Nothobranchius furzeri: one gene and its partners. The protein of the gene in region 2 purifies or fractionates together with the protein of the main gene of each other region. This does not show direct contact. Links are inferred from orthologs where the notes say so. Each region holds a gene or a part of one and is shown on either strand. Other genes may lie near its edges.

Region 1 (7,512 bases), on a different chromosome or scaffold from region 2:
AGCCTTCACCCTTAGCTGCCCTGTTTGACGTCCTTCCCACTGACATCTCATTATGTTTGTTGAGCATGTAGCACTTCGTCCACTGACAGCTGTCTAAAAGATGTCCTTGTCCAAACGTCTCTGGAGGAAATAAAACATTTCCTTTTTGGATCAAAATAAAAATAGCATTTTACCAATTTCCTGCCCTTTCCACCCCACCACCCTTCATATCTGGACCTCATTTTTCTTGCACTAAATCTTCATGAGAAATATTTTTTAAATAATAAGGAACTCATTTAAAAAATGTAAACACTCCAAAAAACACTAATTGGTGGCAAAAATAAAAAAAAACTTTGTCGCTCTTAACGTGATCCAATTTGTGGAGACTTCATGGCTGTTGCTCAGAAAGACCATTATCTGTGATACTAGTGGAGGCGGTACTGTGCACAAAAAGAGGGGGTGCAGCTGATGTAGAATAAAGTGTGGGAGGGATTTTCTGCTTGGTAACAGTGGAAGGAAGTTGAGAAATGTGAGTGAACAGCAGGAGCTGCAGAAATACTGGTTTGTGTTCAAACAAAGGCTGGTCATTGTTCTCACACCACAGCTAAGGGTTTACTCTGAAACACATAAAACCTCACTGTGGGATGCTGGAGTGGGCACGTGTGCAAAAGCCTTCGTCTAAAAACAGAAACCACGCCTGAAATGCTGAGGAACTTCAGATTGAGACCAATTAAATTTATAACACAGTTTAAATATATGAGAGGCGGATGAAGACTTTTGCACAGTGGTACCAATAGTTATTTATTAAATACAAATTTGTGAATAATGATGAAAACTACCTATCATGCTGAAGAAAATATAAAAACGTTCCAGTTTTTCATCATTAAAACGGCAAATCCTGAAAAACTTCATTTCTGCTGAGATTTTATCGAGCAATAAGTTATTTAATAGATGTGAAGCTGCTTTAGATTGTGGAGCTATTAAAATTACTGTACAACAACATCATCTTTAAATCTGAAGTAACTTTCTACAGAAAGGTCATGAACAACTCATGCATGCTGTAGGCCTTTGAATGGCTTCAGTTTAGAGAAACGGAGATTAGCTCTGACCCCTGAACGACTGGCTAGTCCGAGTGCTGCGAGTTACTGAGTTTCTTCTTTCTTAAAACTCTTTATATAATGTAATATAATATAATATAATATAATATAATATAATATAATATAATATAATATAAAGTCAGAAACAATAATCAGGACCGAGATGCTGATCATTTTCTGCCTACCCTGAAGAACAAAAGAAGAATTGCAGCCTCCAGCTTTTCCTCAGTAATTAATGGAAGACACAAAGCCCTTCTGACAGCTTGGCACCACATGCTCTGCATGTCTCCTGCTTCCTGGAGCAGAAATAAACGGGCTAAGCAGAAAATAATTATTGGGCATCATTATTTCATGTTCTGTAGTCCCATGTTAAACTGTGCCCATGCTGATAAAAACAAACTCTTGAAAGAAAAAAACTAAATCTACAAATTATAGCTAACCACGTCCCAAGTCACTGATCCAGGAAACAGGAAAGGGGCTGGTGCTCATGTGTTCATCAATCCACATAAGTGGGATTTGTGGGAATAATCATTAAAAAAGACCAGAAACGGGGATTTTCCTGTGGTAAACACATTTCATTTTTAGGTTTAGAAAATGAAAATTGTATTTTAAACAGGACATCTAATTAAACTGTTGGGAAAATAAACAAATATACATTTTCACGTCAGTTTTTGCTAACAGCTGACGCGTAAAAGTTCAGTCGGCGCCTAAAACTTGCCTGAGGGCTTCTTACCGATTGTAGAAATATGCGAAGGATCAAATTCTCCGTCCGTGAACCTGCGTAACATGCACGTCTTTCCGACCCCAGAGTCTCCGAGAATGAGCAGCCGGAATAAAATATCGTACTGCTTCGCCATGACCCCCCAAAACCTAAAATATATCACAGAGCATGACTTTCTTCTCAGCTTCTGACAGGTCTTCTGATCTGATGCTGCGTTCACTGTCCCTCAGACAATCCCTCTTCAAGCTCTGAAGTAGTGGGTTAAAGAAGATAAAACATGTTCTTCATACAATTTTTGCTCCATTTTTTTATAGATATACTCTCATATATTTTCTTATTTCAAACTCTTAGTTGTTGACGAGTTTTCAAGGGGTCTATTTTTATGTAACTTACAAAATCCACATAAATACAAAGGCAGCACGGAAATCAGCATCTTTTAACCAATTACTTGCTTCCTGTCAGTTTAGGGGAAATGGTAACATTTCAACTACAAATATTACATTTTATGTAAAAAAAAAAAAAAGTGAAAATGTATAAGAATGAAGTTTTACCAGTCCAAGAAAGTAAATATTTGAAATTTCATTTTTCTAATGGTTAAGTGGATATTCACTTGACCTGATACAAATATAGTTCTTCCAGGCAGCTATTTTTTACAATAATTTGAAGGAAAAAAGACAACTCTGGGATATGCAAGCATCTCCAAAGTAGAGGGAAAAGGCTAAAACAAAATTAACTTTCCAGCACAAACTACGAAAAACAATGCAAACACATTTTTGCTGAATCATAAACTTTTCCTGAAACATTTATGTAATTTTGACACATTTTCAGAGTGACAAAAATAACTAATAAAATACACACTGAGCCATGAATACATCCAAAAAGGATAAAATAGTTTTATTTATAATCTCATAATAAAGGTATGCCTTAACTTGCAAGACAACCATTGGCAGTATGTACAACATACCTGTAATTTCCATGGAATGGAACAAATATTTATTACATACACACATTTTTTTTTAAACTTTTAAGATCAACATTCCCAGCGCAGGCAAATATTTCAAGGGAAGGCTTTTCATTGCAGAACTGACACCACTGGGGAGTATACAGTGTTATATACTACACACTGAAATGGACTTCCATGAACAAAAATTAAAGTCACTGTCCTATAACTTCATTGTGTAACATTCAGTATCAATTAAGTGATTTTTTTAAACATAACCACATGTATAAACTCTGAATAACTATTCAAAAGCTGTGAAAATCCTCTTGTAAATCAGTATAGAGATCAGCCATATGGATAGACTATATAATGGGGAGAAAAGGGGGATTTTATGTGATTCAAGTAAGTTCTCAAAGTCAAAAACTTCAGTCACCTACATCAAAAAGGAGGGCACACCTTGCATTCCAGGCATGTTTACTGAAAACAAATTCACATTTTTATATGAATATTAAAAACACTAATTCTTTCAATTATCATTCCATAAAAGGTGTTAAAATCTCACAATTCAACAAACTGCAAAAGTTGTTTTGTAGCTTTACTAAAGGCTCACGTGTCATTTCATGAACATGTTATCACAAGGTTTCAAAAGCATCAAGTCCTTCAAAAACTGCTGAGCTGCCTCACTTTGGGGATAATAAAAGTCATTGCTGGGTCACAAAAACAGGAGGAAACAACAAGGTAGAAGCGTTTTAATAAAACAGTAACAGCACCTAACACACTGTCTCCTTCTTGTGTCTTGGACTGATTTAAGAAGTTAGGAGCATAAGAAGACAGGTCAGAGATGCTGGAGCTGGTGGATGCAAAGAGTCTGGGGGGCACCGGAGTTTAACTGGCCTCCACACGCAGCTTCTTTCTGCTGGGCGGCTCCTCTGGCTCCGATTCGGAGGTGGAGTCGGACCCGCCGTCAAATGCGGACACTGCGCTTCCTTTGCGGTTTTTGTACAAGCTGCTGTCAGAAGAGTAGTTTGTCTGGAGTTGAGTGTTCCCTTTGGCCTTCTCCAGTGCACGAACTTAAAGGGATCAGCAATGAAAACAGAAAGTGTAGTAAAACGTTACAGTTACTGTGTGAATGTGTTCGATTAGGGATTGCTCCCATTACCTTGTTGCTCCAGCAGTGCGTTCTGCTTCTTTAAATCATCAATGTCCTGCTGGTGGGTGTGATTTTTTCTCCTCATGAACTGGATGTACTCTGTAGCTTTGTCTAATATCTGTGCTCGTGAAGCCTGTTGAGGAAGAACAATGTCTTAGAGCCATGCGACAACTTTGTAGTCGTTTTGCTTAATGCAAAATATAACAAATGCATCGAGACGCACGCAAATCCAGAACATCACAGGGAAGATGGATGTCTGTTCAAGGGAATGTTGTGTAGTTTTCTACCTTGTTACCATTACATGAGGCTTTAAAACAAACTGTTGAGTATTGCACTGGAATGAACTGCGGTGTGTTTAAAAAAGACAAGGCTTCAGCATAAATAAGCATCTGATGCAAAAGTGACATCATTTCATGAAAAATGTATTAAACTGATTTTTTTCTAACTTGGGTGCGAAATGCAAGCTCAGCGATGCGTCACTTCCCACAGGAAGCTCTTCAGACGCCAAACAGCAGTGAAAGCGTACCACACAGCTGGTCCCGCGAGGTCATGGTGCCTCGGGAGAATTGCAAGATCTTGGCAGTTAAAGTAGCTGTTCTGTTTACTTCAGCTATGGAGGCGTCAAACTTAATGGCATACTTTTCTTACCTAGAAAAACAATGGGAAATCTGCATGTGGCTTTTAGTTTGAAAGTTTCCAGATGTTTTACACGGCTCCTGTGTTTGATTTCCTGTCCGACTCAATCTGAACAACTGAACTTGACGCAATCTGGAAGAACAGCGCATAAAAATAAACTCGAGGTGTGAACGTAGAAGAGCAACGGAACACTATGCTTCTGGGACGTGTGCAAAATTCACCACTTTGCAGCCGCTGGAAACACACCCATCGACTATAACAATGACTATTAGCTGCGTGCTATGCTTAGCAGACGTTACGCAACACCTAACCCCAAAATTCCACTACCTCCGCTCCGCCCCCGCCTTCTGCAGCCGCTCGCTTCCGAACTCAATTTTTACTGGTACCCGCTCTACAACGGCTCCGCTCCGGTGCGGAGACCTGAGGTGGGCAAACAGGCATGCGCGGGATTTTCGAGATCTTGCGATACAGTCCGAGCAATAAACGCAGAAGTTATATCCAAACACCCGTTGTGTGGGAGAAGCATCGAAATGAACTGTTTAATCTGCCCATCATTTGTGTTGACAGATCAGCAGTGTTTGGATCAACTAAGTGTGACTACTTTGATAGTGGAAACTATATTTATGGCTCATTTTTGTGCATTTAAAGTTCTGCCGCCATTGATAGTTGTTAAAAGTTGTTAAACCTGTGCATATGAAACAAAAAACGCTTTTTGTTATTGATTTATTGTGAAATAATGGAAGCTGTGCTTGCACCCTTTCCTGTTGGGCGGTTGTGATTTCTGTCCATCGACTGCGGAGGTGCTCCGGCGTCCGTCAAAAATAGAATTGATCCTATTTTTGCCGGATGGCGGAACGGTGGGCGGCGCACTGCGCCGCACAGCCGCAGTAGTGGAACAGCTCTGATTGACTACAACGGGACCGATTTTGCTGCAGAGTTCGTGCCGGAGCGGAGGTAGTGGAATTTTGGGGTAAGTGTCCGGTAAGTCGCTGCACTCACTGGGGTGAGTTTTAGTATTTAACTTCTCAACTGTGAGCTCATGTTTCCCTAATTCTACAAACTGAAATAACTTTGATTTCTGTCTACAAAAGGATTACTCAGATACTACATGCAATCCCAATAATAATAAAAAAAAAAAATGAAATCACACATCAAATGTGAAAAATAGCTACAGATTGCTAACAAATAATATAATTATTTTCTTCACACTGTGAATTCACTTCCCCTTACCTTCTCCCCTTGTAATGAAGGCACAGAATCTCTTAAACCATGAAAGCTATCCTTGATGTGGTCCCTCCGTTTGCGCTCCAGCGCATTGTGATGTGCTCGTTTGTCTGCCTGCAAAAAAAAAAAAAAAAAAAGAGTAAACAATTTTATAATTCAGACATTTTGTAAAATCAAAACAAAACAGATCCCATGAAAATGTACTCATATTTGCTGGACTCCGTTACTCTGGCCTTACAATATCATCTCAATCCTTATTTGCATTCAAATAAACAAACAGCACACAGGTCGTTGTCTAGCTGACGGTGTGTGTGTGGAGTGAATGCAGGGAAATGAATGGGTGTTTCATGAGTCTTTATTTGTTTATAAATAATTCAATATTAAAAAACGACCAGGACTAATACAGTTTATATTCAAAACTCAACAACAAATGAATCATCAATAAAAATGTTTGCAAGGATGCTTTCATTTGGTCTTTCCTGCCAGATCACTCACTCACACTTCCTCTCATGGCTAAACTTGTGCATGTTGTGGTCAATTAAAAATCAAAACAAGAATAAACACACACATTTTAAGCCTATCAAACAATATGCCTCAAGTAATTTTCAATTACGATCTCAATATGCAGTTTTGTGATATGTTTGTGATATATTTCCACATATGGCTCTATTTCCAAGCATCAACAATTCTTGGAAACAAAAACAACTTTTTGTGTCCTCCGTCAGTGCTTGTACATCCAAGGTTCTTCAGCAGCTTTTCTCTGTTTTATTAAGCACTCAGAAATGTTTGTTTATTTCACCACTAAACAGCCTAAATATTTTAGGTTTTACATGGCCAGAAAACTTCTAGGGAAACTAGGGATAAGCCAATTTATCAGGCTGACTTTACCGTTCTTTTGCAATACCGTTTCATTGGCTGATATAGAAAAAATGGTAACTATTGGCCCAATTTGCCTCTTTAGTGAGCCAATTTAAAAACAGGCACATCCTTGGGTCAGTATGACTGCTACACAGATGCCTTTTCCTGCCTAAACAGCTTCTTTCCTTCAACTCTGCTAAACTCAGCTAAGCTACTGCTAGCAGGTAGTCTCAAATTAGTGTTAATTTAGCATGCAATAAGGCAGAAAACGTCTAGTCATCAGAAGTGAAAATCTGTAAAACAAATGGCAGCACATATCGGCCATCTGCTGTGGTATGTCGGTATCGGCAACAGAAAACCCATATCGGTTGATTCGATTAGAAGCACACAAAACAGATCATAATGAATAACGTAGCAGTCTGGAAATTATGTGATGCTCTTGTTTTAATTTCTTGTGGTGTCTCTGACAATAAATACCATTGAGTAATTGTGTTAAGTAACAGTTTGTTTAATATTGACCAAAAAAAAATTGTGATTATGATTTATTTGCCCCCATGATCCAGCGGCATTAGAAAAGACATTAGCACACAACTCTGTCAACATGAATTTATTGTGTACACTTGTTAAATTGCTTCAACAATAAGGGCTCAACTTGTCAACAAGTGCACGCTTCCGGCAGCTGCATAAGGATCTAAAGCTGCAACTCAAACAAATGTGGGGAAAGAACAACCCCTAGCAAAAATGGGATTTTAGCATAATTTCCCACTCTGACAAAGCTTTGTGCACGTTTCTGTCCTGCAAAGTCTAAATGAATCTACTGTCTGCTCGGTCAAATCAATTCATATCCTCCACATATGTATTTTTAAAGCCATGATGCATTTTACATTCGTGCAGCTTTAATGGAGAT
Region 2 (7,144 bases):
GCTGAGTTTGTTTCCTGTTTGGATGGGATTTAGACCTCCTCTTCCTCCATTCTCTAATGCCAACAACAACAGCCGTCGAAGAGACAAGAGAGTGCACTCGTAAGTGCACGGATTCGCAATTTAAACCCCTCTAATCGTGCAAAACGCGCAGTGCTTTTTTCCAATATCAGTTCTTACTTAAAGAAGGCTATAATCTGCAGCTCGGACCAGAAATCTCTGAATTTTCTGCCAATCGTGTGAAAACGTGCATAAGCTAACTAGCAAGCTAAGGAGCAGCAGGCTGTTAGCAGTAACGGTTAGCCGGCTGTAGTCAACAAAAGATTGTTCATTATTACTGACATGTGGTGTGAAACCTGCTTCTGTGGTGGACTGATTTACTATCTGTAACTATATTTTAATCTCCGTGGAGAAAAATCAACAGTTTCGTCAAAGTTGGCACGTTTTCGTGACCTGTAGCAGAAGTTGGACGATGCCTCTCCTCCGGACGTGATCGGTACCTGAAGTAGGCCTTGTGCACACATAGCTTGGTAAAAGTTGTGGGCATCAAGTGAGGGTTGACTGTGCTTTTTTGTGTTTACATCTAAAGGCTAATGACGCAGCGGTTTGTACAATTAGCTGTAATTTCCGCCAGGTTTGTTTTGCTAACTGAGGAAAAAGTGGAGTAAACATGATGATGGAATTAGCTTAGTGTAGTGTGCTGTGCTCATAGCCAACCATTGAAATGGGCCTGGGTTCATAAATGAGTGCAAAAGCTCATTCAAATCCATCTGTGCCGTGGGGATTTATAGGAAAATGTTATAAATAAGTGAAGCTTGAAACTTTTGCTCACAGCTTTCATTTCTTCTGCAGGGGTCTGAACACTTGAGTGACAGAAGGAACAATTTTTTAATCTGAACTAAACTCCTTCAGGTCCTTTGGGATCATGGCTAAAGATGTGAGTAATTTCCCTCAATATTTTCATCCATATGCACATTATATCTTGTAGCCAGATGAGATGGTTCTTGTTGTTTTAGCATACCTATTATTCTAAACCATCATTAATGTTTGACAATAAACCCAAATTGCAAAATGATCCAATTACCCATTTGGTGTAATTTAAGGAGATATGCACACTTAAGCATCCATTATTGCATCACTACTATCTTATATTATTTTTAATATTCTATATTTGCAGCATAATGAGTTTTGTCTTTTACAGGCTGGTTTGATTGAAACAAATGGAGAGCTGAAGGTTTTCATCGATCAGAATCTGAGCCCTAGCAAAGGTATAACTGAACCATCTTTTGACTTTGTTTTTGTTATTTTCTCCCAGTTTACACAATCTATTTGCACTGACCACCAATCCTGCAAAAATATCGGTAGAACCGATTAAAAGTGAACTATGGGGCTTTGAAGTTTCAACCAGGAGTTTTCCTCATTACCGATGTTCTTGTGTCTTCTCTCAGGTGTCCTGTCCTTGGTTACTGTCCAGCCTACAGCTGTCCCCGGGGCCAAGCAGCTACTACCCAAAACCCTTGGGCCGTCTAACGTTAATGTTGCCACACACATGCAACATTTGCCACACATGGTGAGTGCGTGTGCTCTGTCTGACACTTTTCCAGAACGGTTACATATGTCCTGCATGCTGCTTTTGTCCACACCTCCTTGCTGTTGTGTAAGCCCCCTCCCATTACTGCTGGGAGGTGGAGGCACTTGATCCTAAGCTTATCAACTCTACAGTCAGCAGGATTACACCCATCATCTCATTATGTAGAAGAAATGTATACACAACGGAAATCAGCTTACAGATCACCTGTCTCCTACATCAGATTATTATTAATTTGGGACAAATTGTTGCTTTGATCATTCATCAGATGTATTTGCACGCACGTTATTGTCTTACTGTCTCATCCTCTGCTCTCTTTAGGTTATTGGAACCCCTCAGAGGCCAACAGTATCAAATACTATTTTAGTAAACAGTCCACACACACCAAGTTCTCAGTTCCTCACTCAGAGTCAACCCGCTGATGCTTCTCCTTGGTCATCAGGGTAAGACCTCGAATAGTTCAGTCGTTTTTATTTCTTTTACTTTACACAAGTTTTAGAAGCAAACTATGTGTAACTTGTTCTGTAAACAGAAAACGGGGTAAGAAGGGGGAGAAGAATGGGAAAGGCTTGAGGCATTTCTCCATGAAAGTGTGTGAGAAGGTGCAGAAGAAGGGAGTGACCACCTACAATGAGGTGGCAGACGAGCTGGTGGCAGAATTCAGTTCTTCAGACAACCACATGTCGCCGAATGACTCGGTGAGCGCTGCAGCTTTTATTTTACACACAAAACTCAGAGACGTTTTTTTTTTTTTAACGCTGACCCACGTGTTTTCCATCCCAGCACGTATACGACCAGAAGAACATTCGGCGGCGTGTTTACGATGCGCTGAACGTGCTCATGGCCATGAACATCATCTCGAAAGAGAAGAAAGAAATCAAGTGGATCGGCTTGCCCACTAACTCGGCTCAGGAGTGCCAAAATTTAGAGGTGGAGATTCAAATCAAAGGCTTTTGTCTTCTTTTTACGTAACAAGCCGTTCTGAACAACTATCTCCGTCATGCCTCCAGGTGGAGAGACAACGGCGACTGGAGAGGATTAAGCAGAAACAGTCACAGCTTCAGGAGCTCATACTTCAGGTGGGAATGGCGATAGAGCTTCACCAACACCTCAGCGATTAAAGATGCATTTGTCTGATTAAATGTTTTATATTTTACAGCAAATAGCCTTTAAGAACCTCGTTCAGAGGAACCGACAGACAGAGCAGCAAGCAAACAGGCCCCCGCCTCCTAACTCCATCATCCACCTTCCCTTCATAATAGTCAACACTAGCAAGAAGACGGTGATCGACTGCAGCATCTCTAATGACAAGTACGTGATCATCTGCGTACATTCGAACTGGAGAATTTTAGCCCCAATTTATTGTGCGTCTTTTTTTCTCCGTCTCCAGGTTCGAGTATTTGTTCAATTTCGACAGCATGTTTGAGATCCACGATGACATCGAGGTGCTGAAGCGCATGGGCATGGCCTGTGGTCTGGAGGTGGGGAAGTGTTCAGCAGAGGACCTGAAGGTGGCACGCAGCCTGGTGCCCAAAGCTCTGGAGCCTTACGTTATCGGTTCGTACGTCATGGTGTAAACGGCCAGGGTTTTTGTTGATGCTTCAGGACAACGTTGAGATGTTGTCTCTTTTAGAGCCTGATATGTGTTTAGGGACCTCCTCCCCTCAGTAATCCTGGGGTAAAGGAGCTTTTTCTGGTTGCAGGAAGCCCTCCCTCTGTCCCGAAGCTGCAGTAATAGTTAGGAAAGGTCTAAACATGTCAAGCAGCATGTTGCAGGTTCTGACACGTACAGTGAAGCGTCTGTGTTCACTCAGGAACGATTGGACGTCTACATTAAATATGGTTCCTTCTCACAGAGATGGCGAAAGGTCCCATCAGTAACGTGTACATCACAGGAGGATCCTCAGCCAACGGCGCTCGTTACACTGCCAGCAGGTAGGAAGTCGTACCTAAGATGGGAACGTTTCCCGTTTCAACCTGGTCCCTTTTTAACCCGGTTTCTCCGTTTCTAGTGACGGCTGCACCGACGGCACCATGGCGTCCAGCTCCAACGACTCTCACTACAGCGGCTCTCGCGTGGAGACCCCGGTGTCTTACATGGGGGACGACGATGATGAGGATGAATACGAGGAGAACGACGATGAAGACTAACCGCGCTACATGTCCCCACTCCAACAAGCACAGTCCTCCAAACAGCAGTCACAGCGGCGATCTGGTCCCTTTTAGTGTGTGTGTGCTTCCTTCCCAAGCCCCCCCCCGTCCACGCTCGTGTTTCTGTCTGGTCTTCTCAGGGGTGTAGATGAATTCTGAAAGAACAGAGGAGTTGTTTGTTTATATTTTCCTGTTTATTTGTTGTTTCCACCCCCCCGCTGACTCACATGCTCCTGCACCACACCTACGATCTGCGGGAACCGTCGTCTGTGATCCTTTTTCAACAAGCCATCCCACTCTCCGCTCTCTGTAAAAGCTGTTGCTGTTGGAGAATGTAAAGTGTATTTGTTTGAATAGTTATTATTTTACTGTCACGATGGATATTATGATCAAAATGTTCCGTTAATGTCTGCTGTGTTAGCGCGCCGTGGATCCTGATGGCTGTTGGGGCGGTTTGAAATAGTTTCTTATTCCCATTGCGTTGGGTTGGCTTCCGTATGTTTCGTAGGCAGCTGCTTTCTGATCTTGTTAGTATGTTTTTTTTTTTTTTTTTGTATTCTGGAGTTGAGAAGCTGTCCCATCACCACCCTGTTGACGCCTTTGGTAGTGTTTACAAATAAACGGCTGAAGCGAGGTAAAGCTCCTAGGTAATTCAGCTTTGTTAATTACATATAAATCCTACCACCATTGTAGCTCATAGTGTCCTTTAGAGGCCAGTGGTGAAGATAGACCATCGCGATTTATTGACGTAACAAAAATGTGTGGTTGTATAGGTCTTTGTGTAATCCCTTCAAAGATCGCCCTTTTAAAACTGAGACACATGTACTGACTCTTCCAAATACTTTTTCTGTAATCTAATATAAGTTTGCAAATTAAAAATATAGATTGTTTTAATAAGTCTGTATTTACGGTTTGTGTACATCATCATCAGCAGGTCATGAAGGACTAGTCTCATCTTTGGACAAGTTATTATAAAGTCGTGTGAATGAGAAGAGCTTCCACCCATTTTTCATATTTAAAGATGTGGTTCACTGAAAACCTAATCTGTCACTTTGAGATTTTCATACAGGCTGAACATTAAAACAGTCTCCTAGAAAATAGATGGTGAAGTGCTAGGATTTGAAGATCCTCACATCTATGGCCTCACCCATCTTGGCGCCCACAGGAAGGCTGTTTTTTCTTTTTTTTGCAGCGAGGAGAGCGGAGAGTGGCCAAGGCTCAGTACTCGCACTTCCACACTTGCACCCTTCAAATGTGTGATCCCAGCCAGGGGTGGGAGTGTTTAGGGTGTCCCGATTTTCAAGTGCAGAATGATGCACACTTCACTGAAGTCTGCTTCGATGCTGACTTGGGTGAAGGGTATTTACCCATAATCCATTGCTGCGGGAGAAAAGGCTCAAGTGCCTTTTCTGAAAAAATGCATTTTCAAATAAAAGTAGTTAATTTTAGGACGTTTAACTGATGCTCTGAATGTTCAAGACAAATCGGTAATGAATGTAAATTTATTTCAAAGAATTGTTTGTTTAAAGTTATTAAAGTTTTTTTTTATTTGCACAGCGACCTGCATCCCGGCATGCTTTGCAGTCGATGACGCAACGCTCCCTGTCCCAATTCGGCAGTTATTTGCTTGTGTACCAGTCAAACCCTACTGCACACTTCCTCCAATTGCACTTGACAGAAGACTGTAGGGCGCAGTGCGAGTATTGGGATTAGGCTAGTGTCTTGGTGATGGTGACTTTGCAACATGGCTGAACACTTTCGCTAATCAGAAGCGAGGTGTGTGCATATCATTAATAATAAGTAATCTTGCTGTTTTCTGCACCAGCAAACTTCTGCATCTCAGAACAGGATCATCATAGCTTTATTTTTTTAATGACTTTTTAATAAACCACACCATTATCTGTTTTTAGGTGGAGCATAGTTCACTCTTCTGAAGATCCAAATAAGTAAATAGTACATTTTATTATGTAATATTTCAGATTTTTATTCACCAAGAATGTTTCTGAAGAGCCTAAGCTATTTGGCTAATTCTGCATCAATCACATTTTAACTCAAGATCTGTAGAATGAACAAAGTTAAAGACATTTTTGCACAAATTTAAACAATTCCAGGGGTTTTAGCAGGTCACCTCCAGGTTAGTTTTAAACATCAGCAGAAAGCTCCTTCTGATTTTATAAGTGACTATCACTGCTCTGAGATGTGCTTGCACACTTTGTCTGGGGCATGGAGGTGTTAATGGATTACTGAAAGGTGTTGACTCAGGTGTGTGTGTGATACGATCCTCAAAGTGTGCTCCAGTCTAGTTCAGACACCAGTCCTGAGTTCCAGTTTCCTCCTTCCCTCCTTTCTGATCTGCTTTTTGTTTTCTAACGCTTGACTTGTCCTTCACCCTGCTCATACAAAAGCAGCGTTTATCATCCTCGACTGACGTCCCCCTGCGATGTCTCTCCTCTCTGTCGCCTAACGTTCACCCACCGTCAACATGGACATCGGAGGACTGACCACTGTGGTGGCAAACTCTGCGTACATCAACGCTCGTGGAAGCATCGATGGCTCGAACCCAGCAGCCGCTCGGGATAAGAAGTACCATTCTCGCCTCAAGCTACCCCACATCACCGTGTGTGAGGGTCTGAGGGACACCCTAGACTTGGCCTTTGACTCCGTCTGTGTCCAACAGCCCATCGGCAAACGCCTTTTTAGAGAATTTTTGGAGGCAAATCAAGAATATCATGGTGCTTGTCGTCTGTGGAAAGACATTGAGGAGTATGACCTCGTGGAGGACTCTGAAAGGGCAAAGAAGGCCTCTAAGATCGTTCAGCGGTACATGGACCCATCGGCGAAACACTTCTGTCCATACTTGCTGGAGGACCTCACGTCCAAGGTGAAGGAAAACCTGGAGTCCGTAGGGGATGACCTGTTTGCTGCAGCTTTGGATAAAACCCTGGAGTACCTGCGAGAGGCTCCGTTCACGTTCTACCTGGAGAGCATGTACCTGAAGAGGTTCCTGCAGTGGAAGTGGCTGGAGATGCAGCCCATGGATGCAGACTGGTTCCTGGACTTCCGTGTGCTGGGGAAAGGTGGGTTTGGAGAGGTGTCTGCTTGTCAGATGAAAGCCACTGGAAAACTTTATGCCTGTAAGAAACTCAACAAGAAGAGGCTGAAGAAGAGGAAGGGCTATGAGGTGAAGATACTTTTTGATTTACAGTCATTGCAGAAGTGCTCTGAAAACCTTTTTAAAATGTAGATTGTGCAACAGGAAGTATATTTTGTATCCTTGCAAGCTATTCCAAGCAGTTTCTTGTTTTATTACCTGTTGATTTGAATAATTAAAAATGCATTTAGTAGTTTTTGTGCATTAGAGAAAGTGCGGCTTAATCACCTTTGTCCCTGCAGAATTAAACACTGAGA
Region 3 (8,447 bases), on a different chromosome or scaffold from region 2:
ACGTGTGGACGCGCCTCTTCCTGAGAGTGAAGCCACACATTGTCCAAACGTGTCCTGTGACATGTCCACCTGTTGACTGGGGACATCTGGAGCAGTTTGGCAAGTGTGTGTGTGCTGTTGGTGGAGGGTGGATTTGAATATCACACACACAGCCACAATCCTCTACAAAGGGAAAAGAAAATGGATTGTACATTAAGCCCCTGTCCCTACTCCTGCGTTTATGCGAAAACATTGTTTTATAACTATTATTCAGACGTTATGTTTTATATAAAAATGTATATTGACCATCATGATACCAATAATCATTGACAACTAAAAATGTAGAAAATCTATTTGAAGTGCAGCTCTGGCCATTTTCTCTCATCATTTATGATAAAACAGGTAGTTTTACCAGACCTGGTGGTTGGTTTTTATCAGACTCGTCTCAGCATTAGCGAGCTGATGAACTACTGTAAACTTTTTCCCACCACCTGTCCTCTGTGCTACATCTGGTTTTAGTCACATGAAGGCCCAATCTCAATACTCACACTTCCACCCTCGCACCCTTTCAATTGCACGGTCCCGTCCAGGGGCGTGAGTGCGTAGGGTGTCCCGATTCTCAAGTGCAAAATTTGACCACGCCCATTTTGCACCCTTGATCCGCACTTCACCCAAGTTCACATCAATGTGGATTTTGGTGAAGGGTATTACCCACAATCCACTGCTGCGGGAGCAAAGGCTCAAGCACCCATTTCTGAATATATGTATTTTCAACTGAAAGCAGTTCATCTTTGGACGATTAACTGATGCTTCGAATGTTTTAGACAAAGATTCAATGTGCACAGAAGTGAATGTCCATTTTGTCAAATAATTGTTTGGTTTTTTTGTTTGAAAGTTGTTAGAAAGATTTTTTTTCTAAAGTAGCACAGCGACCTGCGTTGCGGTCAATGACGCAGTGCTTCCTGTCCCAGTTCGGCAATACTTTGCACACTTGTGTACTTTGTACTTGAAGCCTTACTACGCACCTCCTCCTAGTGTGCTTTGCTGAAGACCATAGGGCACAGTGCAAGTATTGGGATTGGGCCTTAGTTTGTTTAGGTTAGAGAGGGGTGGGCTTAGGGTCTGGCTCTGTGACTTTGATTGGTCAGGAGTAAGTAATGACTCTAGTATTAATCTACCCCATAGGGTATAATGACAAAAAAAGGTTATTCACTCATTATTTTTCTCTTGCACCACACATCTGTTAATAGCTAACCACTTCAACATTCTTCCTCTCCTGACAAATGTGCTACTACTAGTTTACTTGTTTAATTATGGATTTACTGGGATAGATACAATAAAGTTCATCTCTCACTAAATAGAATATTTACTAAGAAATCACAATGTGACCATAGACACATTACTTGGTATGTGTGTGTGTGTGTGTGTGTGTGTGTGTGTGTGTGTGTGTGTGTGTGTGTGTGTGTGTGTGTGTGTGTGTGCTCGGTCTTCTCCATCCCCAGTGAGTCATGGTGGATGGCTGCTTATACTGAGCCAGGATTCTCTGGAGGTTTCTTCCTGTTAAAAGGGAGTTTTCCTCTCCGCTTTCGCTACATGCTTGCTTAGTATGACACTAGTCAGTGACTTGATGCAATTTGCTGGGTTCCTTATATAGGAAACTTTTTTCTGATTGGCTTAATGAACTGACCTGTACCGGAATGTTTACTGTGTGAAGTACCTTGAGACGACTCTTGTCGTGATTTGGCGATTATATACAACAAGCATTGCACATTCCTGTGTTCTGGAGGTGTGGCTTAGGGGAAAGGGGTTGGACCTTTGGAATGTTTATTTTCAAAATGTAGCTTGCTTGAACAGCAAAAAAATTAATAAAACAACATCTATCCCACCTTTAATTATCTCTAATCAAATGTCAAATGTCTGAACCGTGTCTTTAAAACTGCATAGCCATCAGAACCAAGTCAACATATTTAGAACATCTGGAGGCGCACACGCGTGGTGAGAAGGCAACCAACCATTTCACCCTGCAGCTATACTGCTTAGTAGGCCTAGACCAATATATCGGGCTGATATTTACAGTTTTTTTAAACATGTCCTTTAAACTCGTCCTTTGTAGAGCCGATTTAAAGTTAGGCCCATTCTTGGGCACCCCGGTGCTGCTGCAGAATTTCATTTCAACGTATTTTAACGTCCACTAATAACATTTGCATAATAAATACTCTACATTAACTATTTAGCTGTCTGACTTTAACACTGACCAGTGCACAAAGTGAAGGTTTAACAGTTAGTTCAAAAACGGATTCTGCTTCAGAAATTGTGTGCATCAACTGATGTTATTAGTGACATTTTAGCATGAAAATCAACCCAAATCTGCAGTAGATATGACTCCACCGGTGTGTCTCTCACACACTCACGCACACACACACGTCTGATCAAGCCAACAAACCCAACCGGTCAGACCAGGACAAGTTACAGGATGCCTACGGAGATCTACCTCACCCTCAACGGCAGCTTAAACATAAAGGTGCTACTTTGTTGATGGTCAATATGGCTCCTCTATGAGGAAGGGCGGGTCTGTGTTTGGGTTGCTGATAGGAGGGTGGGGGGTGGGGGGATTTGAAATGCAAAACTCCCTCTTGAGCAGAACGCAGCCCGGCTTAAGGGAGTGGTGGGTGAAACAAGCAGAATGATTGAAGACTGCATACAGTTGGTCGTCTCACCTCGTTCTAGGGAGGCGATTTGTCTTTACAAGATGTAAAAATAAACTTGATGTCAATTTTTACACATTTTGTATGAGATTTACATAACAAATAAAAAGGAAAATCATTTCTGGCTTTTATTGTAGAGAGGAACCAATGTTTGGCTCCAGAGAATTTAAGTCAGTCTGATCCCAAACATTCATTAATTTCAGGGAAGATCTGGAATTCCAACAGTCTACAAACCCTCACAAGCTCATGGACGATGCTCAGTCAGTCTGGATTACACATAAAGGAGCATATTTAGGAGTCTTCAGCATCTGCCTGCTGGTCTGGCCTGTTTTTGAAGGTTTTTAGGTGGACTTTGCTTGTCAAAACGCCACAAAAAGAAGTGGTGGTTGTTACTCTTGAGGGAAGTGAGATGCATTTGAACAGGAACGCTTCCTGTAATCATTGAAGCCTAACTGAGCATGCAAGAAAGCTGCCGAGTCAGCGAGACTGTAAAGACAACCAGTCTCTTCCAAAGAATCGATGAACTGAACGCTTTCCTGCAGCCGTGTTCAAAAACACAAGTAAGATGTGATTTTTGTTTCTGCAAACCTTTTGAGGTGTGTTTTAATGCATCAATAAATACTTTCTGCATCCATGTGAGGGAAGATACTGGAAATAAAAACTGAACTATTAGTCATGCAGTTGCATTCTTTTACAAAGTGAACAAGTTGGACGTGTTTCGGCCCACGATTCCCTACCCATAACAGAATATCCATCAAGATTTTCTTCCCCGAAATACGGGTTCACTCCATTCATGTGAATCCGGGACGTCCAGAACTTTAAAAAAAATGTGCAAACACTGCTAAGAGATGCAAAAATCCCTAACACACATCCAGGCTGGTCTGGCACAGTTCACCTTAGCATACGATGAGCCAGGTGGTAGTCTATTGCACTGTCTTTTTAATCCTCTTGAGGGGCCAATTAGTGGTCACAGTGTCACCGTCAACATGAGATCAGAAGACCCCGCTCACACTCGATAAACAAGCCTGAAAGATTTACACCAGCAAAATAGAAGAAAAGCAAAGTGTGGTTGTGTCTTCTATAGTCATCAATTATAGGAATCTTTGCTTTGACCTTTGACCCCTTTAGCAAGATCTGCAGCTTAAGCAAAGGTGCAGATGCTCAAAAGTGGGATTGCATCAATAAACACTAGATTTTGCACACGGACCCCTACACTTTAACATGTTGCCTCCCTCTTAAAACCCATCAAAGGCATGCTGGCCTCCAGAGGGGAAACAAAGATGTGTCGTCACATTTTTTTTTATTTTACAGGAGAAACAGAAGCCCTCCATTCAGTTCCACTAGCTGCTGCTGCAGTCACACTGGCCGCTCTGTTGGCTTATCATATATGAATGCTAAGTCTAATTGTTATTCCTCCCACACGCACACAGCTCCCTGAACACAACAGATCGCTTATTAAACCGTGTGTAAAACACTGTTCTGCAGGGTGTGTTTGATTATGTACCGGCAGCCGCCCGGAGGATGATCTGATGGGCTTCGCCTCGGGTCCGTGGGGGGTTGAGTACAGGCTGTTGGCTCTTTGTTCCGCCGCGGCGGTGTTACAGATCTGGGTGAAGTAGCCGGCTGGTATGATGGAGCTCATCGGTGGGCTGGACAGTCCGGTGCAGAAGAAGTCCGACTTGGACAAAACCTTCAGCTTCTGCTGCTGCTGAGAGCAGGAGAGTCCCGCTGGTGGGGCTGGAGAGACGCCTTTAGGCATCCGCATCATGTTCCCGAGTAAAACTAAACGTGACCCGGGCTGGTCCGGTTAGGAGAGACGGGAGCTGCGAGCAGAGCACAGAGATGAGTTGTTGTGCTACTAAGCTAGCTGCTACGTCAGAACAATAACAAGTACGAGCTGTTAAAATAACCTTAAAAATGCACGTCAGTAGCTTCTAATAAACACGTCTTTTAATAATAGTCATCAATTTAGTCATTTATCCTGCCATAAAGTATACTGAAAAGGTGCCTTACCGGTTATAAATAAATAACGCTTCCTATATAGGTAAAGTATTTAAAACATCCGGTGTAAGGAAGAGCAGATATTTCTCCGAGTGTCTTCAGGATCGGGTTTGGAACAGAGACTCCGTCTGGAGCAGAACACGACCCAGTTCGAGACCGCTGTCCGTCCGCTTCACGGCTCCTCTCTCCATACAAGGGAACAAGAGCTGGGGAACAGCAGTCTTTTTTAGCGCCAAACTCCGTCCCGCGAAATTTGGATCTCCCGCGGTTAGAGCTCGCCTCTGATTGGCTACCGGCACGTTCGGCTTGTCACATTTGCATGGAACAGTTGTGCAGAGCAGGGGCTGGTGCTCTTAAAGAGACAGGACCGTCAGTGCGACAAGAGGGGTTTCTGGTGAGGATGAACTTGAAGACAAAGAGAAATCAAAATATCGTGTCCTGTTCAAATGTATTAATATAAAAAACACATTTTTACATCATTTTCTTATTGCAATAAAAGAATTTCAAACATATAGGCTGATTTATTGAACAAAAGTTGTATTTATCATTTCAACATTTGCTTTAAATGCATGATGCATGGATGAACTCAGAAAGAAAGCATTTATAAATGCTAAGAAAGCACTTATAACATTTAGCTTAAGATTAATATACATATTTAATAATAACCTATATCCAGTCATACACTCATTAAGAAAAAAGTTGCTTTTTAGTGCAGTTTGTTACTCATAATAAAAGTAATGTACAAAAAGGGGGATTTAAAGGTAAAAAAGTTTATACTTAAAAAAACACATGGAAATTTAGTTTTATTATTTCTTATATGATGAGAGTATAGTATGGCCAGCTATAAGGTGCTGCTGTGAGTCTGTCAGTGATAACTGGATTCACCCAGGACCACTCTTGCTTATTGGTTGCAAGAGATATTGAAAGAAAACACTCCCTCCCCCACATTCACAGCCAGACAATCCAAGCCATATGACTTGACCCTCATTGGACAAGACAAAGTAGACTCTTAGTCCTTTGTCATCACTTCATCTGGGCTAAATTCCAAACAAGGGTCATTTCTAAAACTTTGATGGGGTCTTTATAAATGAATTGTGTATTTAAAAAAAAAAATGAGACCACTTTGACTTGAAATCGTCAACAAGTGAAAGTGGAAAAATTGTAGCTGACATGGTGTTGAAAAATATTGACAGCTTTGTAACATATAACCATAAAAATTGGTACAAAAATACGTAGGAGCGGGTCTACGGCCCGATCCCAATACTCACATTTCCACCCTTGCATCCTTCAATTGTGTGTTCCAGTCCAGGGGCATGAGGCATAGGGTGTCCCGATCCTCAAGTGCGGAAGTTGATCATGCCCCTTTTGCACCCTTGATCCGCACTTTCCCTAAGTGCGCATCAATGCTGAGTGGGAATGTTGAGAAGAAGGCTGAACAATGGAACAAAGTGCCTTTTCTGAAAATTTGAATTTTCAAACAAAAGTTCATTTTAAGACAATTAATATTTATTTATGCTCTGAAAATTTTAGACTAAGATTTAATGTGAACAACAATGAATGTAAATTTTGTCAATTGTTTGTTTGAAAGTTAGAACCCAACCCCTTTTGAATTAGAAAAAAGACTGGAATAAATACATTAAAAAAATTAAATAAAATAAACATGTAAAAAATATTTTAATACATGTATGGATAGAATGTCACTTGGGGTTTTCAAACTTGAATATTTGACTCAAGAAGCAATTTTGCAGATGTTTGAAATTGGTTGTGACACCATGGGTCCTTATGGATTAATAAAGATTTTTTTTTTAAAGTAGCAATACCTGCCACTGGCATCCCTGCATGCCTCATGGTCGATGATGCAATGGTCGCTGTCCCAATTTGGCAATTATTTGCACACCTGTGTACTACACACTCAAAGACTTACTGTGCACTTCTTCCTAGTGCACTTTGCTGAAGACCGCAGGGTGCAGTGGGAAGTTTGGAATTGGGTCTAAGTCTCTGGGTGACGCCATGTTGTACGCCATGTTTCCTGTGACAGGAGGAGCCAGTGAGGACAAAATCCGTCAGTAAGGTCTTACTCAAACACAAAAATACAGCATGCTTGCAATGATTTATGTACGTACTGCCACCCATCACCAGAGAAAATTCACATTGTCACTTTAAAGGTATAGCGGAGGATGTTTCTGAATTTCAGGCAAGAACCGCCCACTCCTCATTTTGGGAAAAAAAAATGCACATGAGAAAGAAAGCCCAGTTATCCTCGTTATAAGTAGCTGCCGGCCTTGCAGCCAACTTCTTCTAGCAGTAAACTGAAATGAATTTCTCCAAATATTATGCTGAACTTCAGCTTACCTGTCGAGCAGAAAACCTTCGACCGAGGCCTCTGTGGGGATCCCAACCTTCGCTTTGCGCAGGAAGAGAAAACTACCCGGCAACGTATGACGACGGCCTTGCATGAATGATTCACCAGAATGATTGACAGTTAAGCGGACTAATGGTTCAGGTGATCCACCCGGAAGAAAAAGATCCTTTGGTATACTTTTAAATGAGCCCTGTTTTTGCAGTTGGCTGGCAAATGAATTTTCATAATTTGATCCAAAATCTTCTCCATCCCTCTTTTCTATCACAAGCAGCTTTTTGCAGTTTCCATTTCAATTTCTACGTTTCCCAAGTATCAGCCATACACAACGTGACATTTACATGCAGCAATGTAAGTGAAATTACCAGAATTGGCGTGTAGCTGATGCTAATGCTAGCTTGTTATATTAGGTCAGATTACAGCACAAATTTGATAACTGCAACTTCCAAAAGCGTTTGTAAGTGTTCTGGTGAAATGTCGATTATATGTTTTCAAATTTATCTTAAGCATGTTGTATTATTTTGCCACATGCTACTGTGTTAGCTGGGTGATAGCATGGGGCAGTGCGTTATCCCAGGTTTGTCTTCTATTGTCCTCTTGCATATTATACATCAGGCCCTGCTTTTTCTGATTTTGAGGAAAAACCCAAAATGTGCTTTACATGTGGACTCTCTCTGAACATGTTGAAAAAGTCAAATGGTTGTACACCACATTTGCAAGTCTTAGTCCAAGTTCAAGTCCTAACTTTGTACACTGACTTGAGTATCACAATAGGATTTGAAGGTAGACGCTGTTGAGAGAAAATTGATATTTGATTATCTAAATAATATTTTCAAATGTTTTGGTCACTAATTCATCAAAGATTGAAAGTGCTGCACATATACTCCACTGATATTTCACTTATAGGCATGAATGCTGTTTTTCCTGCATTACTTCAAACCAACTTTCAAAGCATCGTGTGTGAAGTGTGTTTGCAATCCCTGCATGTCAGTGAAGCACATTTTGTTGCATCCAGATCCAACACCCCCATCTTGTGGTGAGTTGAGAATTTGATGATTTTACACCTTATACTGTAAGTGTCTTAACTTTGTTTTTCTCTAATTTGATTTATTTGCGCACTTTTTTGTTTTTGATCATGAAACCATGCAGACAGTACGATTAAACAAAAGAAAAATGGATGATTAACAAATATGAATTCAATACATTTTTCAAAAATCTGCAGTTTATTTATTTTTATATTTATGTAAACTTTATTTAACCAGATGAGTCGATTGAGAACTCATTTCAATTTACAACCACGATCTGGCCAATAGGTAGCAGCAACAGCCACATAATTAGCTTTACACCAAACAGATAGATAAGATAAAAACAAACAAGATAAAAATAAAATGAAACTGTTAGAC
Region 4 (8,293 bases), on a different chromosome or scaffold from region 2:
ACCAGATGAATAGCAGAGCAAATAATCCTAAAGAGTACAGAATAAAAATCTGTATAAATAATTATAAACTACATTTAAATTTCATAACTTATTGAAATAAATAAAAATGTTTAGGTTCTTTTTTCAAACTACGCATCAAAAATTATCATAAATTAATAAAGATGAAGATATTTTAAATAAAATACAAGCTAAATGCGAAGAAAACAACATTCTAAATGGTGTGAACTCAAGTGAAAAACGTAAAAACACAAACATTTCTTTCTGATTTCCTGATTCATTTTTCATGTTTTTTGCCCATAGAAGTTATTTTTATATCTTTGGTACGTTCTTGCTGTGTTGCTTTTCTAACTGCATTGTTGCTTCTTTTTTAAAACACAGAAAAGGTTTCTTTTTACCTTGCTGACAGTTTCGTTTGCAGCTGACGCTCTGAGGACGTTTGCCAACACATTCTCACAACCAAAGCGTCAAAATATGACGCGTCTGACCAAGCATCAATATATGACGATTCGGGACGCCCCAGCGCGTCAGGAGACGACGATCAGGGACACGACGATCAGGGACACGTGGCTCCGCTGGCGTCACTGTTTGACGCCCGCGGTCACACGGACATTATTTTAACTTTCCCCTCACCCCAATCCTAACCTTAAGGTCAGTAACTGTGACCTTGATGCGCTAGGGCATCCCGAATCGTCATATATTGAGGCTTGGTCAGGCGCGTCATATTTTGACGCTTTGGGTGTGAGAATATGTTGCGTTTGCAGCCGCGAACGAAACCGTCAGCAAGGTAAAAAGAAAACTTTTCTGTGTTTAAAAAAAAAGAACCAACAGTGCAGTTATTTTTACTTCAGGAGTTTGAATAACTGAATGCTCTGCTGCATTTTTTTTTTTGTCAATATCACAATAATCTAGGAGGTTTATCCAATTTCTTTCGCTTTTGTTAAGCTGCGCTCAGATCAGCTTATCCATGCCGGTCTGACCCACCGTGGTGCGCACCAGCTCAGAGCGGAGACTAGATCTATCTTACCAACGCAGGCGTGGGGAACCCTGGTCCTCGAGGGCCGGTGTCCTGCATGTCTTTGCTCCAGCTGGATAGCGGCCCTCGATGGACCCGGGTTCCCCATCCCTGACCCAAAGGGACAAACAGCTAAAATTAGGGAGGACTGTGGGTGAAAATCACAGGAGATGTCAACAAAGCCTTAAGTGTTCATCATGTCAAAAAACAAACGGCATTTAAGAGATTTGGCGTTAACGAGCTTTTAACGCTGATAAGACTTCACTCTCACCTGGCATATTTTACTGACCAGGTGCGTGTAACCGACATTACTCAGAGTTGTTTACGAGCACGTTTCATCCACGCGTGACGGTGGCACAGGAGTTAGGTGCTCGCCCCGTAACCGGAAGGTTGCAGGTTTGAGCTGTCAGTCTGACGCTGACGTTGTGTCCTTGGGCAAGACACTTAACCCCCACTGCCTGCTGGTGGTGGTCGGAGGGACCGGTGGCGCCTGTGCTCGGCAGCCTCGCCTGTCATTTGCCCCCAGGGCAGCTGTGGCTACATCATAGCTCATCCTCACCGGTGTGAATGTGTGTGTGTGAATGATAGTGATGTAAAGCGCCTTGGGGGGTTCCAGGATGCTAGAAGGCGCTATATCAAATACCATAGAGCTGACACAGATTGACAACGTTAACGCTAAAGTGGGTGAAGCTCTAAACTGTCTCGCTCCTCGCCAGCAAGCGCGACCGGTTGGCCCGTAGTAAAAAGTTCAACATCCGTCTATACCGCAATAACCGTCCTCAACGTGGTCTTTCACCTGTGGTCTTCTAGAGCAGAAACTGAGCTTGCAAAAACAAGTGAGTGGGTGCAAGCACATCAGAGCAAATCCCAAAATTCACAAATCTCCACTTTGGTGGGAGTTTTTTTTTTTTTATCGCGTTTGGTTGTGTTCATCTTCACTTTTGTGTGGACAATGGGCCAAAACGTAGAAAAGTACCTTTGTTTGGCGAGACACCCAGCTACGCGTGTACAGGGTCTACCCTGTAGCTGAAACCCTGGGATAAAATTAACAGATGTGTGCGTTAAAGCGCCCACAGGAGGTCCAGCAAAACCAGAAATGCTGTTTGGAGGGCGCATCGCTTTTGATCTGGTTTATTAAATAAATGGAAAATTACTGATTAGTTGAGTTTTCACAATCCCCTAAACAGCCACAACAACCTCTATAGTGACAAATAGCTCCAAGTGCCCGAGCCTTACTTCTTGGCGTCTTTATCCGTGTCCCGTTGGCTGCTGCTCCTCTTCCTCGTGGAGTTTTGGCTGGTTCTGGCTGGTACTGGTGGTCCGAATCATCAAGAGCCAACCGCCTTTTTGCCTTATAAGAAGCACACCAACAGGAATTTACTCATAGTTTTAATACTGACAGTGGTCTCTAGTAGGAACGCTGATGCTTAAGCTTGGTTTATACTTGACGCATTCACTTTCCGCGCGGTGATGCGGCTCGCGGATGGAACGCGTTTCACAACTCGCAGCGTTTATGGTTTGTGCGGCTTGTCTCTGTGGTGAGCCAATATTCTCCCAAACTGTAGGGGGCAGCATGGAGCTCTACGGCATGCATCCAACACTACACCATAGTAGAAGTAGAAATTACTGTTTACAACATGGCATTTCAGCATTTTTAACAGCGTCCTCGTCTTTTCCGACAGTGCGAGCTATTTCTCTCCAAGAATTATTAACTACATGTTGATCACGGTGATCTCGGAGAGCTGAATCATACAAATGTCTGTATTTACGAACCTCTGCCATACTAGTTCTTGCCGGTCCGCCATGTTTTTCCGCATCCGTCCGTCCGCGTGGTTAGAAATTTTCCGAGGTGCGCGTTGCGGAAATTCTGGGCCGTGCGGAGGCGCTGTGGAAGGCCGTGGTTGTTAAAATGACGCAACTTTTCCGCGCAGAGCCGTGCGGACCTCGCGGATGCGTCAAGCATAAACCAACCTTTAATCTCCACAAATAACTCAAGCCTGGAGGAGTTCTGCTGCGTGGTGGAGCAACTAATGGTTAGCTTCTACTAATTGAGACGTTCTATGCCGTTTCCTGGACGCTAAACCAACAGCCTTCCCCGTCGTGAGTAAAGGTGGGCGAGTCCATGAATGTTAACTCTTAAATGTAAAGTTAAATATCCCAAACATGGACTGTGCCTTCTACAGACATGTTAAGCTTTATAGGAGGTTTTCCATATGGTCAAGTGATGTCATCTATGTATGAATGACAAAGTATTATTCGGAATTCATCTTTCTTCTTTAAGTGGATCAAAATGGTAAAAAAAAAAAAGCAATCCAGGTTATTGCCACATAGCAGGAACTAAACCTGCAGCATTCAACTCTTAAAGTGGCCCAATGGCAGAAGTATTCACATTCCCCAGCAGGATCAGCTTTGTAATATCTGCCCTCTTCCACTTCATCTTCACATGCAGCTGGGCTGCAGAGGAGCCCTTTCTCCTGCACGTCTCCCACATCTGATCCCAATTAAATTCATAACCTTAGAATGAAGGTGTGCTGCTACTGCAACAACCCACACAGTTGTGTCTTAAAGCAACCACGTGCAATCAGAGTGAAATAAATCTGTTGGTATGCAGTCACAAATCATTTTGCCTTCAGAAAACATCAACATCTCCTCACATTAACATTTTAGTCATATTTAGCAGAAGACTGGGAGGAGGGAGAGCCAGTGTCAGCCATTTTCTCTCAGCAGGCAGATCCCCTCACCCCCTCTCTGCTGGCCATGGCCACAGCCTGACACAAACTGGTTTAGTTCATAAAAGAAAGAATCACATGCAGCTCGAACCTTAATGCACAATGTGGTTTGTGCATGTAGAGAACACAGGAAACGTGCAATCACCTCCAGAGCAAGCACCTTGAGTTTCACTTTAGTTGGCAGAGAAACGTGACTTTATAAACAAAGAGAAGCACGTAAAGCAGCGACAACTCTGCAGAACATAAACCTGGATGGGTTTAGTTGCTCCACATTAGTAAGCCTTAGATGCTAAAACACTTTTACGCTAGATGCAAGTTGCATCTTCAGGGACGACTTGATCCACCGAGAACTTTCTGAACTGAGGAGAAGTTGCATCTACGCACAAACCCGTGTTTTATGCAGGCTCGGCTCTCATCTCGCTAGAAAGCCTAAAAACGAGCCATTAAAGGGGGCAGGCGAGGGAACAACCCCACCAACCCCAAATAAAGAACATCAGCTACTAGGCCAACGCTAACGTTACTCATCCCTTACCGATATTTCCATCTGGCTGCAAAGGTGAAGCGAACCTTAAAGCACCACGAAGTTGCCTAGCTCGCTAGTAAACGGGACGTCTGTATGTCTATAACGCTTAAATTACACTTTAACCAGTTCGCTGCCTTCCCCGCAGTTAACTACCCGGGTAACCAACCCATTTTAGTCAGCTTCAGTGGGTTGAGTCGTGTGGGAATGCCCTGGCTAAGTAGCTAGCGTTAGCAGCCCGAACAACAAGCTCGGCTAACTTAGCAGGCTAACATGTTGTCGGACTAAATGTGTGAATTATTGCCGTGTGGGTTTTTACCGGAGGTCTTCCCAGAGCGGGTCGCTGTCCTGTTCCGTTTGCTGCAGCTTGTTGGGGAGTTGAGTAAATGTTACTGAGCTGAGGCTCGGATAAACACACATTTGATGTCTGTGTAACGTTACAAGGCGGTGGTGTGGTTATTATCTGAATATACGTAGTACTGGATTGACCGGGGTTTAAACGATCCGAGAGGGCTGTTAAAATGATGTTATTGTCCAGAGAAGAGCCCCCGACGCCCGCTAAAATCACTTTGTCCGGAGCCGAGGAGATCCCTCTTCTCATCTTGCGTTCTCGGGGTAACCCCTTTCTTGTCTCTGAACTTTCGAGGCTTCGTGGCTGCTAATCCGTCGTCGTGACTACAACAATAATCAGACTGAAGTGAAGATTAAAGTCTGAATGATCGGCTTTTAAAAGGTATTTTTCATTAAGAAAGTGCATTTAGGCAGATGCAACGGATTTAAAAGTAGCGCAACTCTCGTATCTGCCGTCTAGAAATGGCTTCAGGAAACGGCCTGATGAATGAAGGGATACGGTTTACGCGCTCAAGAGCCCTCCCGCGAAACTCAGATTTCCCGGGGAAATTTCAAACGGAATATACATGTTAGACGCTATTGGGTCTTCAAACATGAGCCCCCGCCCTTAGTTGATGCGTACTGACCAATGGCAGATCAGGAAACAGTTCGACACGTGCTCATTGGCAGTTGTAAACAGGCAACGTCACTCTTCACAGGCTGCGTGTTTCCGGAAAGAACGCCAGGTGGCGGAAGTTATCAAGTTATAGAGAAAAATGCAACTAAAAGCCTTCATGAACAGCAAAAAACAAAATTATTCCAGGTGACAAAGGTTTAATAAATGCTGTTTCACTGAAATCTTAACTGCTTTCACTGAAGATTAGTTAAGAAGAAATTCGACATATATGATAATTAAATCATTTCAGATTAATCAATGAAGCAGGAAACAAATATACTAATAAACTAACGAAAGACCGAACTACTTCATGATTTGGTTCAATTCAAAACAGAACAAATACTGTATAAGTAAGACACAACCAGCTCCCCCTACAAATAATGACATCGTGGAAAAGATGGAGGGCACGACCCAAGAGCCTAAATGAATAGTAAAACACAGCTTTCTGAACAACATTAAAACGCTGGTGTGTCTCAGTGGCAGGTATGAAAATGTCAAATGGTCTAAGACAATAGTTGTTACCCTCCTTATGTCATTGAAGCTGTAAAAGCTCCTAGTTTTTTATAATCATTTTGTGAATTTTAGGGATTAACATAGAACTGTTCAACCAAACTTACAATAGTTAGTAGAAACACTTCCTGTAAATTCGTTCAAAAATAAAATGTGTGTTGCCGTTAGCAACAGGGTCTTTTTACGCTTTTCATTTAGCTAAAAAACTGTTAAAACATATTCATGTATTAGTGTTAAACACAACTGTTGTGTGCAGTGGTGAACAGGAACAACGGGAGCATTGGGATTGGGATATATGTATGTCGATGATTGGGACGCAAAGTTAAAGCAATCCTTTATGTCTGGATTTCGAGATTAAGAATTTTCCGCCCTCTAGCGGACGTAAACCGTCACTACAGGTATTGTTCATAAAGCTAAACAAAACATTAGACATTAACACTTCTTGTAGATTCCTTCAAAATAAAACGTATCATTAAAAATTACTACACTTTTCAAATTTGCGTTAACAGCATAGTTCGTCTAAATAACGGGGAAGACAGAACGTCATCACTTATACAAACTACGTACCTACTAAAACTAAAATCTTTTCAACAAGATCAAATCGAGGAGCTAAAGCAGAAACTATTAGGAGCTAGCTACCAGCACAACAAACATATCAGATCATACGCCTTCTGGCGGCCACAGGGCGACACTACATCCACGACAGAGGGATTTTACTTTTAATAAATAAAATAAAATTAATAGGTAATATAACTTTAATATATTTAGTTAAACGAAAAACTAACAGTTTTATATCTGATATGTTTGATCAGAAACTATAAAACGTATGCTGGTAAAGTTATTGGTAAAGACCAATAAAAACCCAACGGCATCTAATAAACAGAAATTGATACAGATTTTTTTAAAATTTATTTTTAAAGGTCCGTATTTTGTAATGAACAGGAAAAGCACTAATTTGTTTGGATTTCACAATAAATGTGTAAACATCAACTAACTAAAATTAAACCAAATACAACAAAAGGACAAAATTGAAAAAGCCAGACGTGAAGAAAAGTGTTTACTTTTTAAAAAACAAACTTTTAATTTAAATACTTGTGTTCAAGTTTAAATTTTTTTTTTGATTGATAGCCACATATTGAGCCTATAGAGTTCCTGGGATCACGTGACTAGGATGGAAACAGGAGAAATCTGGTTTTGGAGATGGGTTTCTTACCCTCTAGTGGACAAAGCTGTTACTACAGGGAATGTTCATCAAGCTAAACAAAACACTACTCATTATCACTTCCTGTTGAATCTTTCAAAATAAAACATAACATCTAAAATACATTGGGGCTTCAGTTAATGTTAACAGCGTAGTTAGTCTAAATAACAAACAAACCAGAATGGTTTCAATTATACAAACTACTTAACTACTAAAACTCAATAAATCTATGTTAATTATCTGTGTTCAACAAGATTAAATCAGTGAGCTAAAACAGGAGCTATTAGCAGCTAGCTAACATCACCACAAACATATCAGACCATACCCCCTCTGGTGGCAACAAGGCGCAACTACATCCACAGTTAGAGGGATTTTACTCTTAATTAAATTAATAATAGGTAATGCAAAATGAATATGGTCATTTACATTTTAGCCAGCATAGGTTAATAGCGTCTATTCAAGCATGTCAGTCAAAAATATAAGTTCAAACACCAATACATACCCAATTATATCTAATAAACACACTTAGACATTAATGCAGATGCTGATTTTAAGCAAAATGTCCTTTTTTAACAGAAAAAGCATGAATGTTTTTTGATTCCACAATGAATTTATAAAATACTGAAACAAATATGATAAAAACAAATGCAAAAAAATAAAATTTTGTTAAAAAAGTCCACTGAAATACAGACTAAATGATCTCAACAGCTGAATTTTTCTTTTGATGAAATTTTTTAATCAGATAAATGAAAATTTTCAATTATTTGAATTAAATGATGTGGTTTAAAGGGCAAAATTGATGTAAAATGTAATTGCTTGATTTTAAAATAACAAAATGAAGTAGAAGAAACACAGTTTCCAAATCACTCTCAAATAAAGCTTTAATAACCTTCCATTCGATTATGTATTTATGTTAGAGCAGTCTAACATAAATATGGACAACTTTTAACTCTTAATTTAATCTTAGAAATATGTTCTGCAAGAATTGGCCACCTAGATGCTATAAGCTTAGTAATTTAAAAGACATAATGTGGCATAGATGTTCTGTAGTGAAAATAAATCCCAAATTTAAGTACATAACATAGACTGTACATACGTACATAAAAAATATAACAATAATTAATTAACAATGTATTTTTTTCATGGCAATTTCACCTCTGAAAAATGAAATCTGCCTTCACAATCGGAGTGCAGTAACAAGTCTGTATTTATACAAACAATAATGCTTAGTTTTCTCGTCTAAACTCTTGTGTTCCTCTAAAGGCTCTTCCACAGGACGAGGGGGTAGACGGAAAATGTTATTTATCGAGATGCT

The links.
Region 1: the proteins of tfdp1a (region 2) and protein max purify together in Homo sapiens (affinity purification with mass spectrometry; 5 studies listed by BioGRID and IntAct, with this or other methods). This does not show direct contact. The link is inferred for Nothobranchius furzeri from reciprocal best matches to the Homo sapiens genes TFDP1 and MAX.
Region 3: the proteins of tfdp1a (region 2) and e2f2 purify together in Homo sapiens (affinity purification with mass spectrometry; 3 studies listed by BioGRID and IntAct, with this or other methods). This does not show direct contact. The link is inferred for Nothobranchius furzeri from reciprocal best matches to the Homo sapiens genes TFDP1 and E2F2.
Region 4: the proteins of tfdp1a (region 2) and transcription factor E2F3 purify together in Homo sapiens (affinity purification with mass spectrometry; 3 studies listed by BioGRID and IntAct, with this or other methods). This does not show direct contact. The link is inferred for Nothobranchius furzeri from reciprocal best matches to the Homo sapiens genes TFDP1 and E2F3.

Annotation. Positions count from the first base shown.
Region 1 is NC_091758.1:33,252,897-33,260,408, forward strand, and holds the end of protein max, read right to left. Parts: intron 5,862-7,512; coding exon 5,754-5,861; intron 4,021-5,753; coding exon 3,897-4,020; intron 3,808-3,896; coding exon 3,623-3,807; 3' UTR 2,667-3,622; downstream 1-2,666. Other genes in the region: ras-related protein Rab-15, read right to left, coding at 1,795-1,933. UniProt on the Homo sapiens protein: Transcription regulator. Forms a sequence-specific DNA-binding protein complex with MYC or MAD which recognizes the core sequence 5'-CAC[GA]TG-3'. The MYC:MAX complex is a transcriptional activator, whereas the MAD:MAX complex is a repressor.
Region 2 is NC_091754.1:25,782,348-25,789,491, forward strand, and holds the end of tfdp1a (transcription factor Dp-1), read left to right. Parts: exon of another isoform or gene 1-99; intron 100-380; exon of another isoform or gene 381-527; intron 528-849; 5' UTR 850-922; coding exon 923-934; intron 935-1,198; coding exon 1,199-1,265; intron 1,266-1,445; coding exon 1,446-1,567; intron 1,568-1,906; coding exon 1,907-2,028; intron 2,029-2,117; coding exon 2,118-2,283; intron 2,284-2,368; coding exon 2,369-2,515; intron 2,516-2,595; coding exon 2,596-2,664; intron 2,665-2,744; coding exon 2,745-2,896; intron 2,897-2,975; coding exon 2,976-3,142; intron 3,143-3,441; coding exon 3,442-3,520; intron 3,521-3,597; coding exon 3,598-3,736; 3' UTR 3,737-3,948; downstream 3,949-7,144. Other genes in the region: rhodopsin kinase GRK1, read left to right, coding at 6,219-6,917. UniProt on the Homo sapiens protein: Can stimulate E2F-dependent transcription.
Region 3 is NC_091758.1:28,056,401-28,064,847, reverse strand, and holds the start of e2f2 (transcription factor E2F2), read right to left. Parts: upstream 4,947-8,447; 5' UTR 4,698-4,946; intron 4,508-4,697; 5' UTR 4,453-4,507; coding exon 4,189-4,452; intron 1-4,188. UniProt on the Homo sapiens protein: Transcription activator that binds DNA cooperatively with DP proteins through the E2 recognition site, 5'-TTTC[CG]CGC-3' found in the promoter region of a number of genes whose products are involved in cell cycle regulation or in DNA replication.
Region 4 is NC_091745.1:42,332,088-42,340,380, reverse strand, and holds the start of transcription factor E2F3, read right to left. Parts: upstream 5,059-8,293; 5' UTR 4,863-5,058; coding exon 4,581-4,862; intron 4,469-4,580; exon of another isoform or gene 4,286-4,468; coding exon of another isoform or gene 4,274-4,285; intron 2,364-4,273; coding exon 2,249-2,363; intron 1-2,248.